2 linked regions of the Stegostoma tigrinum genome follow. The protein of the gene in region 1 interacts with the protein of each later gene in a pairwise test. Links are inferred from orthologs where the notes say so. Each region holds a gene or a part of one and is shown on either strand. Other genes may lie near its edges.

Region 1 (7,280 bases):
TCAAGCAAAATACTGCAGATGCTGGAAATGTGAAATAAATATAAGCACTGAAGAAAGTTAGTAGATCGAGCAGTGCCTGTGAAGAAGGAAACACAGCTGACATTAAGTCTCCTGCAACTCTTCTTCAGACCAATAAACTTGATCGTGCGACTATTTACTTCACTGCTGTTCCTGGGAGCGTGTCATATACCTGTTGATTGTCCCATTGCCCTTCATCGCAATGGAAAGACAACAGCAATAATTCATTGGATGTGGGAGTAAAGAAACAATGGCCTGTCTCCTAATGCTCTCGCCTCTGAACTCTGCAATTCAAATTCCACACAGTCTGTTGTTTCTCCTGTGGTTATATTTTGTTACTTAGCACATGGCTGTCACAGGACTCAGGGACATCCTGAAATATGAAAATACAATTTCTTCCGAGCTACTGTAGCACTGTAGGGCTTGCAAATGTCCAATGATCCACAAGAATCAAGACTCCTGGAGGCCCAGCTGTTACAACTGTGTACTTGGTTGTACCGTCAACTTCCAGGAGGACTGGAGGGTTTAAACTAACGAGATAACACAGTATCTTGCAAACTGCATTGCTGTCTTTAATAGTCAAGAGCACTTCCTTCAATCACACATCGAACATCCAAAACAGGCGTCAATTTTCACATCAATCAAACACTGGGGGGTCCAGCTCCTCACTTTCCTAAGTGAATGTTCATGTACTGTCAATCCTCAAGATTAAGAATGTGAAGTAATCTATTTATGTAACTGCTGGAGAAACTTGAACTCACAAAGAAAGCAGTGCAATGTCCACAAACCTGAACTCAATGAGCACCTTGGCTCCCGGACAATTTCTCACACCTTGGGCAGCAAATGCTGCATTGCAATCACTCTGCATATCATAAATTTATTTCTCGTGCTACATCATTCCTTAAGTGATTCAGTTGTTAAGGTTCATCAATGGAAAAATTATAAGTTACAGAAGAAAAGCTTGGAAGATTGTGGTGGTGCTGGGTCAAAAATACAATCACTACCAACAATACTGAACTCACCACTAACAAGCAGCTCTCAACCCAGCAACACGAGTAACAGCTCTAAGACCAAGACATCAATGGTACCCCCTTTGGAATTGGATATCCAAAGCCAATTCATTCACTGTTGCCGGAAAGTGACTCTGGAGCTCCAAGTGCACCATCACCATAATGGTTCAAATGGGTCAAGTAGTAGTTCCAGCATGGACAATGGAAATCAGGCATGTCACAAACACATCTACCATGAAAAAAGACTTTTTGTAAAAAAAAGACAAGTTTCAGCAAATCTCTTTGGTTTGAGATGATAATGCAAAATCAAAGTGTGCATACCATCGCATATAATGCAACACAATTGAAGAAACAAGCCAAACTACACTTCACTGCTCAAATTTTTCCAAGAGACTTCCACACAAGCGAAAGGATTAAATTGTGCAGCTGAATCAATGCAAATGTATTACTATTTTAGTAACTTTAGAAGGAGCAAATACAGGTTAAAGTGAAAAGGATGATTGGTTCAACTTACATTAACCAAGTGTACAAAATAAATTGAATAGGGAAAGTTTACAGCAAAACTACTGACGAGTTTTCATACTCAAAAGGAACATCTTATTTGTTATCATCTGTTAGAGGATCATTACAGATAAATAAGCCTATTCACCAATAGTCACCAAATCAAAATAAAGACTAAAGAAGGTGGAGACTGCCAGGATCTTCCAAGTGAGAGTAAACAGATATAAACATGAATGCTTCAGCTTTTTTGGTACAAGTGTTCAACGTAGAGCTTAAGGAACTTTAAGAGGTAAAAATGGCATAACAAAAGATCAAATTATCAGTGAAGAGTGATTGGCAACGACAGGAAACATAAGATCAAGAATTATCGTGTAAATAATTGAAGTGGATTTTTTTTTAAACACAAGACCAAACCTGACAAGGGGAGATATTGTAGCTGCAAATGAGGAATGACTTGATATGATAATGATTTTCTGTCAAGGCATTTCCATCAAGTTTCACGGCAGTGAGTAAAATAAGTAACAGACAGGGAAAAAGGTGGAAGTGAAGGAGAACCACAACATGGAGCAGAGCTGGGAAAAGAAAGAAAAAGGAAAGACAGAGCAAGAACGCCTGGTTGGAAGCAAAGGAGGTTTCTCATACAAGATCAAGGTGAAAAATTCATAAATATCCTTGAAGTATTAATGAAACATGATATTTATTTATGGCTTAGACTTTTCCTTCACAGGGATCTAAGACAATTCAGAACCATCCAATAACATATCAACAGTGTGTATGCAGAAGAGAAAGAACTTGTCTCCAAATGAAGGCAACAATAATGTAAAATTGAGCTCAGGTCCCAATGCAACACTGCTGGCTCAGCACGATGCAAGAAAAGCTCCCAAGTCTGCACTGTTTATGCAACAACGCGATGAAGTTAGCATGCTACGACCCCGAAAAGAATAGTCATGTTGCATTTCAAAATCCATTTCGCGTTCAACCTCGTGCAATGAGCCTTTCTGGTTGAATGCAAAATGGTGAGTGTGGGGGGAGAAAGAAGACACAGGGTATGCAAAAAAAAACAGCAGAGACCTGGCAATGCAACAACAGCATGGAAACCATGAGATTTTATGATGAAATACGATGGATGCAAACTGTTAGAAAGCTCGGGTTTCTCTCTTGCTGCAGTTAAAGAATGGAGGCTGGAGGTGAAGCAGCTTGAGCAGCTCCAAGGCCCAGCGCCTGCAGCAGCTTGTTGTTTATTGACATCAGTAATGCCGAGGTTTGAAGAAGCCATCCCTGGCCCAGCAGTGCCCGGTTACCCCTAGCAACCCCCTCCCCGGGCCCGCTGCTCAAAACAAACCTCCAGCCGCCTCCCTCGGCGGCTCCAAGCGCGGATTCCTCCTCCTCCTACTTTCTCCCGCCTCCCATCCCCAACCCGTGCAGACGGGCCCGCCTGCCGCAGAGCTCATCCCCCCGCTCTCCTCCCCCAGGACCGTCCTATCCTCCCATCGTGAGCCCGGAGCTCTCGCCGCCGCACACACGGCTGACGGCTCCATCCCTGTTACCTGCACATGATCCGCCATTTTCCTCCATTCATGCTCGGCCGCGGCGACGCGCCTGCGCACTAACTCTCTGCCGCTCGCCGAGCGCCCGGCCCGGCTCCGCTACCCGTGCGCCTGCGCCAGGCGCCGGCGGCCGGCTCCCCGCGGCGCGCCTGCGTGACAGCTCTCCCTCTCTTTTTCCCCTCAAACTTCCCCAGGCACTGACCATGTGGGGCTCTACCCCGCCCTGCTGCAAAGCTGTGAGGCACCAATGACTCCACTCAGTTCAGGGTGCATTTACTGAACAGACAATGTGTGCATCTGGTTGGCATTTTACGTGTAAACGGGGAAAAAAAAATCCAACATCAAAGCCGAAACTGCTGGAGAAACTCAGCAGGTCTGGCAGCATCTGCGGAGAGAAACAGAAATGTTTCAGATGCATGGCCCCTTCTTCGGAACAGGTTGCAGCGAGGTTCGGGTTGGGATATACACCGGAGGGTGGAGGGCGGGAATGGGAGCAAGAAATCATAGGAGGACCGGGAGCCAGGAGAGAGCAACAGTTGGATGCACAAAGGAATAGGTAAAATATCAGGCTGGGAGCATGAGCAGTTTGCAACATACCGACGTTGTGTGAACAGAACAGACTATGAGCTTCCTGTTGTAAGAGATAACACAGTTTGGAGCTGTGAGCTGTGCAGAGTGAGAAATCTGAAGAAGGGTCCTGACCCACAACAACAGCCTTCCTGCTCCTCTGATGCTGCTTGGCCTGCTGTGTTCATCCAGCTCTACACTGTATCATAGAATCCCAACATCATGGAAACAGGCCATTCAACCCAACAAGTCCACCCCAACACTCTGAACAGCATCCCACCCAGACACACACCCCCTACCCTATTCCTGTAGCCCTGTATTTCCACATGGCTAATCCAACTAGTCTACACATCCCTAGCCACTATGGGCAATTTAACATGGCCAGTCCACCTAACCTGCACATCTTTGGACTGTTGGAGGAATCCGGAGCAAGCTCATGCATACACAGGGAGAATGTGCAAACTCCACACAGACAGTCGCTCGTGGGTGGAATCGAACCCAGGTGCCTAGCACTGTGAGGGAGCAGTGCTAACCATGAGCACCAACTGTGCTAACTCTGTTATCTCTGACTTCAGCATCAGCAGTTATTATTATCTCTGAATGAGCTTCCTGCTGCCTGCCATTTCAACACAGCACTGTGTTCCTTGGCCAACATCTCTGACCTCAGGCTTGCAACACTGCTCCACCGAAGCTCAGCACAAGCTACAAGAACAGCACCTCATCTTCTGCTTGGGGATGCTGCAGCCTTCTGGACTCAATATCTTATGGAGTATGTTACATTTGATATGCACAGAACGAGTTGCCAGATGAAGTGGTAGATGCAAGTACAGTAACAACATTGAAAAGACATCTGTACAGCTACATGAATTAGAAAGGTTTCGAGCGATATGGGGCCAAATGCAGCCAAATAGGATTAGTTTAGTTTGGAAAACCTGGTCAACATGGACAAGTTGGACCAAAGAATCTGTTTCCACACTGTGTGATTCAATTACAAATGCAGAAGTGGGCGCATTTAATTTGCACGGAGCACGTAAGGTGCTTTTTAAAAGGAAATCTCAAGACATGAGGATGTAGCTGTTGCCCATCTTTGACAGCAATGATGAGCTGCCTTGAGTTGCCGTAGTCCCTGAGGTGCACCTACAGTGCTGTGACAAAGTGAATTCCAGGATATTGAGCCAATGACATTGAAGAAACAGTGACATAGTTCCAAGTCAGGATGGTGTGGGGCTTTGTTGGGCAATGGTGCTCCCATGTAGCTATTGTCTTTATCCTTCCAGAGGGGACACAGACAACAGTTCGGAAGGTGCTGGTAGCATTGGGGTGGAGAACAGGCATTTGTGTTCCCTAAACTTGCTGCTGTTTCTGGCCCAAGCAGTGACAAGGCTGAAATCTGAGTAAGTTGCTCCAGTGCAGACTGCAATCATATTGCATCAATGATGGAAGGAGCTGAAGCTTCAGCACATAGGAACAGGAAAGGCCATTCATCCCCTTGAGCCTGCTCTGCCATTCATTGGGATCTTGGTGGATCCGTAGTTGAACACCATGTTTGCCTTTGGCCCAGTTCCTTAAATGCCTTTGTGGAACAAAATAAATCTACCTTGGGTTTAGTATGAACTGACCCAGCATCAACTGCCATTTGGGGAAGAGAATTCCAAACCTCGACCAGCCTTTGTGCTTCCTCACATCTCTCCCGAATAGTCTGACCCCAATTTTTAAACTATGCCCCTAGTTCGAGAATCCCCAACCATCGGAAAAGTTTATCTTCATTTGCCCTGTCTTTTTCTAATAATCTGAAGACTTTGATCAGATCATCCCTGAACCTTCCACATTCTAGAGAAAATGGGCCTCATTTCTACAATCTGTCCTCATCAGTCACACGTACACCATCTGAGAAGTATAGCTCACCCCCAAAGTGCAGGTATCATTGTTGTAAATCTATGTTATGCTCCCTCCAAGACCAATGCATCTTTGCTAAGTTGTGATGCCCAGATCTGCTCACAGTACACCAAGTGGGTCTAACCAGGATTTTCTGTGGCGGCAGCAGAATGTCTGCACTCTTGTACTCCAGCTCTCTGGGTATGAAGGCCAGCATTCCATGAACTCTCCTGGGAGTGGCATAGTGGCTCTGTGGTTCGCATGGGACTTAGATTCATGTCCAGCCTTGGGTGAGTCTGTGTGGAGTTTGCACATTTTCTGTGAGTCTGTGTGGGGTTCACCAGTTTCCTCACACTGTCTAAAGCTGCACGGGTTAGGTAGATTTGCCATGGTAAATTTCAGGAGAGAGTTGTGGGGGCTGGAACTTAAAGATCTTTGCACCTCCACCCCCAAGTCTCTTTATTGAACTTCATACCATCTAGAAAGAACCCTGATCTGTCCTACTGTTTTCATCTAAAATGGATTACCTTACACTTATTTGCATTGAGTTCCACTTGTCACAGTTTTGCCTATTCACCAGTCGAACAACATCCCTTTGTAATTTCATGCAATCATCTACACTGTCGAGAGTTCTGCCTAACTTTCAGTCATCAGCAAATTTGATGAAATGACTTTCTATTCTCTTAACAAGTCATGAATAAATACAAGCGGTGCCCAGGCTGTAAATGAGTTTGTTTGCAAGTCCATTTGTAATAAAGTCAGACACAATGCAGGTCAATATAAAGTAGCCAGTAAATGCAGGAAATGCTCATATCTTGGATCTTTAAAATTAAATCCCTGTATAGGATCACTTATGTAAGCATCAGCTTTTGTCAGTGAGATGTTCGCAATCAGGGATCCCCTGTAATGTGAATAACTGAGGCCCTCAGACATCTCTCACTGGGACACCATTGGTTATGTTTGAACTCCCCATCACCCCTGCCAATTTCCCAGCTATTTCAGCAATCTGTCTCAATTTCATTGGCTTCTACCTTAGTTAACAGTCTCTTAGATGAGATTTTGTGTCAAATGCTTTCTGGAAGTCAAAGAATCATTCAAGACAGAAACAGACTCTTTAGCCCAGCTTGCCCATGCTGACCAGGTTTCCCAAATTAAACTAGTCCCACTTTTCTGAAGAAGGGGCGAGGCCTGAAACGTCAGCCTTCCTGCTCCTCTGGTGCTGCTTGGCCTGCTGTGTTCATCCAGCTGTACACCTGTTATCCCTAGTCCCTCATGCTTGTTTTTACAGAGCATTTACAAAGCACCTGCGCTCTGCACGCTATAATCAACACCTTCAGGTCGCCAACCATTTTAACACCCCTCCCACTCCCTGGATGACATGTCCATCCTGGGCATCCTCCGGTGCCACAACGATGCCACTCGGAAACTGGAGGAACAGCACCTCATATTCCATCTTGGGAGCCTACAACCCAATGGTCTCAATGTGGACTTTACCAGTTTCAAGATCTCTCCACCCCCAGCCTCATCCCATGTCCAACCCTCACTCTCATCCCCGCCTCCTTGACCTGACACAACCTGTCCATCTTCTTTCCCACGTCCCACTAACCAATCCCCACCATCCTCTACCTGCATCCACCTATTGCCATCCCACCCACCTTCCCCCAGCCCCACCCCTCCTCCCTCAATTTATTTCCCAGCTCCCTTACCCCTTTCCCAGCTATGAAGAAGGGTCCCAACCCAAAACATTGACTTTCCTGCTCCT
Region 2 (7,552 bases), on another chromosome or scaffold:
ACACATTCCACGATCAATTTAAACAGAAGGTCAGTGAAACCATGTCACCCATACCAACAGCCTTAGGTGCACCTGTACCCACAGTCAACGCTGCAGACGTTAGACTGGCCTTCTTGAGAGTGAACCCTCGGAAAGGGACGGGCCCAGTTGGAGTTCTTTCCAGGCACTCAGATCCGGTGTGGACCAGCTCCTGGGAGTAATCACAGACATTCTTAACCTCCCCTTACTGTGATCTGAGGTTCCCACCTGCTTCACAAGGACCACCGTCATCCCGGTGCCAAAGAAAAACAATGTCATGTGCCTCAGTAACTACCAGTCACTCTGACTGTGATAATTAGGAAGTGCTTTGAGAAGCTAGTCATGGCCCACATCAACTCCAGTCTCCCAAACTGCCTAGATCCTTTGCAATTTGCCTACCGGCACAACAGGTCCACGGTAGACATCGTTTTCCTGGCCCTGCACTCACCCCTGGAACATGTAGATAACTAGGATACGTATGCCAGGCTCCTAATTATTGACTAAAGCTCCGCCTTCAACACCATAATTCCAAACAAACTATCTCTAAGTTCTGAGGCCAAGGTCCTGACTACCCTCCCCACCCCCCCCCAACTTCTGTAATGGATTATTGACCCCCTGCCCTACAGACTGCAATCAGTAAGAATAGCCAACATTTCCTCCACCATAATCCTCAACACTGGTGCCCCCCAATGCTGCATAGTCAGCCCCCTACTATACTCCTTATAGACTCACGACTATGTGGCCGCATTCCACCCCAACTCCATTTACAAGTTTGTTAATGACATCACCGTTGTAGATTGGATCTCAGACAATGACGAGACGAAGTACAGCAAAGAGATTGTGTGCTTAGGGACATGGTGTAAAGTCAACAAGCTCTCCATCAATGTCGGTAAAATGAAGGAGCCGGCCATAGACTTCAGGACCTGGAGTGGGAGGGCACGCCCCAGTCTGTATCAATGGGGCTGAGGTGGAGAGGGTCGAGAGCATCAAGATCCTGGGAGTGACGATCACCGACCATCTGTCCTGTTCTATCCACGTTGACATGAGAAAGTCAAAAAAGCACAACAATACCTCTACATTCTTAGGAGGCTAAGGAAATTCGGCATGTCCACACCGACTCTTACCAATTTTTATAGATGCAACAAAGAAGTCATCCTATCCAGATGCATCACTGTTTGGTGCAGCAGCTGCTCTTCCTTAGACCACAAGAAACTACAGAAAGATGTGAACACAGCCCAGTCCATTACTCAAACCAACTCCCAACCCACTGACTCCATCTACACTTCCCACTGCCTTGGGAAAGCAACCAACATCATCTAAAACCCCTCCTACCCCAGCTATACTCTCTTCCTCTCTCTTCCATCAGACAGAAAATATAAAAATTTGAAAACACGTACCAACAGATTCATGAACATCTTCTTCTCTGCTGTTATCAGACTTTTGAATGAACCTCTCAAATATTCATTCCGATCTCTCTCGCTCTGCACCTTCTCTGTGACTGTAACACTATATTCTGCACTTCGTTCTGCTACCCTGATGTAATTTGTATGGTACAATTTGCCTGTAGCGCACGTGAAACAACAATTTTCACTGTATCTTCGTAAATGTGACGACAATGAATCAAACTCAAACTCAAAAATCCAAATATCAGAACAGGTTCAAGAGGCTGAATGGCCTACTCCATTTTTGTCCATCTTAAATTCTGAGATTAAACACCGTCTGGTTGTAGACTCTCCCATGAAAGGAAATGACCTCTTTGCATCTCTGTCAAGTTCGCAGAGTGTGCATCGCCCTCAAAAAGTCAGGATGAATCCATGACTGAAGAGAGGCTGTGATGACTCAATGCTGATCCTCAACCTCTCTGCCCTTGTTCATGATCATAGCCGCTCTTTTCTGTCCAAGGCCCTTGAGCAGTTACAAAAACAAAACACTGCAGACACCAGAACCCTGAATGAAAAACAGAAAATGCTGGAAATTCTCAGCAACTCTGGCTGCACGCAAAGAGAAACTGAGTTAATATTCGGAAATGAGAAACTTCAGTTACGTGGATAGATTGGAGAAGTTGAGACTGTTCTCCCTGGAGAGAGGGAGGCAAGAGGAGAACTGATAGAGGTTTCCAAAAACATGAGTGGGCAGGATACAATAGATTAGGAGAAGCTGTTCCCAATTATGAAAGGAAAATGAATAAGAAGAGATAGATTTAGTGTGATGTGCAAATGAAGCAAGGGTGACTTGAGGGGAAAAAATAACTTTTAATGCAGGGTATGGAATGCACTGCCTGGAAATGCGATGAGGGAGGTTCAACTGAGGTATTCATGGGAGCATTGGGTGGTTATTTGGATAGAAATTGTGTACAAGGATATGAGGGAAAGGCAGGAAAGTGAAGTTGAGCATTATCGGACCAGCCACGATCTCACTTAACGGTAGAACAGATTCAAGGGGCTGAAAGACCTATTTATGTTCCTCTGTGTTAAATTCTTAAAAGTTAGGTTGGATGGTTGGGGATGTGCAGGGGCTGAATCTGTGGCTGAAGAGTTGATTAATTAATACTTTGTTAGATATCTGCTTGTGTTCTGCTGCATGTTACTATTAACTTTAGAGATAATTATGATAGGTTTTCAAAGCATCCAGCTACAGGTATCTGAAAAAGAAATATTTATTTGCAGAGATAGTAGGAACTGCAGATGCTGGAGAATCTGAGATAACAAGGTGTAGAAGCTGGATGAACACAGCATCAGAGCAGGAAAGCTGACGTTTCGGGCCTAGACCCTACTTACAGAAGTGGTTTCGCATAATTTCTGCAACCAGAAGTCATCCTATTCAATCTAAAAGATAATATGTTTTTCTTGTAGTTGTCATGCATTGGATACGATTAAGGTATAAAAGAAAATCTTTGTGAGGTGCAGGGGAAAAGGAAAGCTCACCCGAAGCTAAACACCTGAAACCAAATGGAGCAGAATTTTTGAGAGAGTCACACAAATTTTAACTTTCTGTATTTCCATATAACATGATCAGGATTACACAGAATCATAATTATTATTGCACAAAGTGGGAGGCAATGACCAAATGGTATTATTGCTAGATTATTAATCCAGAAACTTGGCCATGATCTGGGACATAGGTTCAAATTCCGCCACGGCAGGTGATGCATTTTCAATTCAATAAAAATCTGGAATTAAGAGTCTAATGATGACCATCAATCCATTGTTGATTGTTGGAAAAACCCGTCTGATTCACATATTTCCTGTAGGGAAGGAAACCGCAATCCTTATCTGGTCTGGATTACATATGAGAGATAGTGGGAACTGCAGATGCTGGAGAATCCAAGATAATAAAATGTGAGGCTGGATGAACACAGCAGGCCCAGCAGCATCTCAGGAGCACAAAAGCTGACGTTTCGGGCCTGGACCCTTCATCAGAAAAGGGTTGAGGCCCGAAATGTCATCTTTTGTGCTCCTAAGATGCTGCTTGGCCTGCTGTGTTCATCCAGCTCCACACTGGATTATATATGACTCCAGACCCACAGTAATTTACTCAAACGCCCTCAACCATATAGGGATGGGCAATAAATGCTGACCGAGTCAGAGACACACATCATGTTAGTCACTTAAAAAAAACTAATTTGGCCCATTTCTAATGTGTAATTTCACTGCAATCGAATTGTCAATTTGAGTGAATAAATGAAGCACGACTATTGTACATTTAAAAGAAGCAGCACTGTATTTTAATATAATAAATTCAGCATTCGTACCAACTCTTTTTTTATCAAGTGAATACCACAATTGTTTCCTTCCTCATGAAAGTAGCACAGCCCTGTCCCTTTAAATGAAGCGGTGCATTACTCACTGCCCACTAGGTGGAGCAATGCAGCACATAACTGTTCGTTTAAAAGAAGCAATGCAGCAATCACATTCTCTATTAAAATAAAGCAACTTGGCTGTCACGCTGTTTCTTTAAATGAAGCAATACAATAATCACACTGTGCCTTCAACGCTGCAAGTAACTGCTGCCCTGGCCCTTTAAATGCTGCAGGTACCCGCTGTACTGTCCCTTTAAATGCTGCAGTAACCTGCTGCACTGTCCCTTTAAATGCTGCAGGTACCTGCTGCACTGTCCCTTTAAACGCTGCATGTTGCAGCTGCACTGTCCCTTTAAATGCTGCAAGTAACGGCTGCACTGTCCCTTTAAGGTGATGACGTGTTTGTATTGTGGCGACGTGGGGCTGCCACGTTTCCACGCAGGCGTACTAAGCGATGCCCGCTGAAGACGCCGTGTTTGCGGCAGTGCGCATGCGTAGATCCTGGCGGCCGGCCGTTGGGTGTTGGCGGCGCGCAGGCGCGGGTGTCGGCGGCCGGCGCTGTCTCGGGTGGGGACCGTTGGGCCAACATGAACTTCCTCCGCGGGGTAATGGGTGGCCAGAGCGCGGGGCCGCAGCCCAGCGGGGCCGAGACCGTGAGTACCTGCCTCCTAACACTGCTTCATAAACGGCTGACAGCGGCCCGGCACTTCGCTTTGTCGTCCAGGCCCGAAAAACCGAGGGATAGGCCTCTGGCCTCGGCCTCGATTAGTCAGAGCGGCTGAGAGTGTGTTGACGTGGAATAACTCTCCTGGAAAGACAGGGCTACGGGGTAGATATGTTCTCCGGACAGAAACAAATAATAGGCATGCTGCTACACTGAGGGAGCGCCGCACTGTCGGAGGGTCAGTGCTGAGGGGGCGGGCACTGTCGGAGGGTCAGTGCTGAGGGAGTGGGCACTGTCACAGGGTCAGTGCTGAGGGAGTGGGCACTGTCACAGGGTCAGTGCTGAGGGAGTGGGCACTGTCACAGGGTCAGTGCTGAGGGAGCGGGCACTGTCGGAGGGTCAGTGCTGAGGGAGCGGGCACTGTCGGAGGGTCAGCGCTGTTGGAGCGGGCACTGTCGGAGGGTCAGCGCTGTTGGAGCGGGCACTGTCGGAGGGTCAGCGCTGTTGGAGCGGGCACTGTCGGAGGGTCAGCGCTGTTGGAGCGGGCACTGTCGGAGGGTCAGCGCTGAGGGAGCGGGCACTGTCGGAGGGTCTGCGCTGAGGGAGCGCCGCGCTGTCGGAGGGTCGGCGCTGAGGGAGCGCGGCGCTGTCGGAGGGTCGGCGCTGAGGGAGCGGGCACTGTCGGAGGGTCAGCGCTGAGGGAGCGGGCACTGTCGGAGGGTCAGCGCTGTTGGAGCGGGCACTGTCGGAGGGTCAGCGCTGTTGGAGCGGGCACTGTCGGAGGGTCGGCGCTGAGGGAGCGCCGCGCTGTCGGAGGGTCGGCGCTGAGGGAGCGCGGCGCTGTCGGGGGGTCGGCGCTGAGGGAGCGCGGCGCTGTCGGGGGGTCGGCGCTGAGGGAGCGCGGCGCTGTCGGGGGGTCGGCGCTGAGGGAGCGCGGCGCTGTCGGGGGGTCGGCGCTGAGGGAGCGCGGCGCTGTCGGGGGGTCGGCGCTGAGGGAGCGCGGCGCTGTCGGGGGGTCGGCGCTGAGGGAGCGCGGCGCTGTCGGGGGGTCGGCGCTGTCGGGGGGTCGGCGCTGAGGGAGCGCGGCGCTGTCGGGGGGTCGGCGCTGAGGGAGCGCGCACTGCACTTCCCTTTGTAATTGACCATTCCTGTCTGGGGGCCCAGTCTCATACTTTGAACTCTACCCATGCCACTCACGATCTTTTAAACTTCAATCAAGCAGTCCCTCAACCTCTTGCGTTCTCGTGAAAACAAACCCAATTTGTCCAGACTTTCTTCGTAGCTGAAATCGCCCCCAACCCAGGCATCATCCTGGTAGACCTTGACTGTACCCTCTCCAAAGTATGCACTTCATTTTGGTAGTGTCGTGACTAAAACTGTACGCAATATTCCAAATGTTGCCTGACTTAAAGTTCTATGAAGCTGCAACAGCTCTTGCCTATCCTTATACCCATTGCCCCTTTCAATGAAGGCAAGCATACCATAGGCCTTCTCTTATTACCTTATCTTTCTGTGCTGCTACCTTCGGTGATGATATATAGTAGAATCCATCCCGTGTGGAAATGGGCCCTTTGGCCCAATAAGTCCCCACTGACCCTCAGAGCATCCCACCCAGACGCATCCCCTTGTAACCCACCTCATGCACGTATGCCCGAACACAGTAATTTAGCACAGCCAATCCACTTAGCCTGCACGTCCTTGGGCTGTGGGAGAAAACTCTGCATACCCTGATCCTTCTGCATATCAATACCTCTAAGGGTTCTGCCTCTCACTATAAAATTTTCACCTGTACTTCACCTTCCAAAATGCATCACCTCATTTTTTTCAGGATTAAACTCCATCTGCCACTTTTCTGCCCAACTGATCTATGTCCTGCTGTATCCTCTGACTATCTTCCTCACTATCTGCTACCCCAGCAATCTTCGTACTGTCTGCAAAAATACTAGTTAGACTAGCTGCATTTTCCTCCATATCATTTATATAGACCATGAACAGCGGAGGCCCCAGCATTGATCCCTGTGGAACACCATTAGCCACAACCTTCCATTCTAAAATGCATCCTTCCACCACTACTGTCTCCTGTGACTAAGGCAGTTCTGTACCCATCTTCCCAGCTCACCCTGATACCATACTTCACCTTTTATACCAGTCTAACAAGAGAGACCTTGTCAAAGGCTTGATTGAAGTCCACGTAGACAGCATCAACTGCTTTTCCTTCATCGATCATTTTCATCACCACCTCCAAGAAAAAGACCTCCCCTGCAGACAACTATGCTGGCTATTGCTAATGAGTCAATTTCTTTCTAAATGCTTAGAGTTGGCTTCCTCTCAAAATCTCTTGCCGAAATGCACTTTTTTCGGTTCTGAATTCTGTCAACGCATATTCTTAGCCAGTGAGTCCCTTTGTGTACAGCTTTCAAACCTGAATAAATGCCTTTTGATGGTTCAACTGGCATAGTCTCCTGAATATATCTCTCCTCACTCCTTGTATTCTTCACACCTTACTGCAAGTCACGCAGGTTCTAGCACTCCTGCTCCCATTCTATCAGATGTAACAGCATTGATGACCAGGACATCCAGAATAATACCCATCTCTCCCTGCTGTTGTGTATCTTTTAACCATGTTTCAGTCTTCAAGATCCAGGAAACAGTGAAGTAAATATAGGATTTAATACGTTGATATCTATATGATGAAAACAGGAACAGAGGCACAGGCAGACAAAACTATATCAAAATTCAGCTGGTTTCCACTTAAATATTCATGAAATGTGACCTTGAAGACACTGCTGAACAAAGTTTTGAATAAATCCATGGGCAAACAGTAAGAATTCTCAGACTTTTAAAGCTGAAACAGTTCCTCATTGATCTTCCAGAAATAAGACTTTTGAAGTTGCATAGACAGATTGTTCTGTTGCAGTGAAATGCCAATGCTTATATGTTGATATTTAAGTCAATTTCCTGAAATGGTACATTACTTTTGATTGTCAGTGACGGACTTCAAGTTATATTCAGTCAAGGTGCAGGTGTTGCATAGTTAGACTTAGGTTTTTACAAATATTGCCGTTCTTATT

What was found.
Region 2: the proteins of xpo7 (region 1) and uso1 interact in binary tests that used the Homo sapiens proteins (3 or more experiments, as listed by UniProt). The two-hybrid records come from large-scale screens. The link is inferred for Stegostoma tigrinum from reciprocal best matches to the Homo sapiens genes XPO7 and USO1.

Annotation. Positions count from the first base shown.
Region 1 is NC_081393.1:2,312,971-2,320,250, forward strand, and holds the start of xpo7 (exportin-7), read right to left. Parts: upstream 3,184-7,280; 5' UTR 3,095-3,183; coding exon 3,077-3,094; intron 1-3,076.
Region 2 is NC_081354.1:2,791,185-2,798,736, reverse strand, and holds the start of uso1 (general vesicular transport factor p115), read left to right. Parts: upstream 1-4,337; 5' UTR 4,338-4,404; coding exon 4,405-4,470; intron 4,471-7,552. UniProt on the Homo sapiens protein: General vesicular transport factor required for intercisternal transport in the Golgi stack; it is required for transcytotic fusion and/or subsequent binding of the vesicles to the target membrane.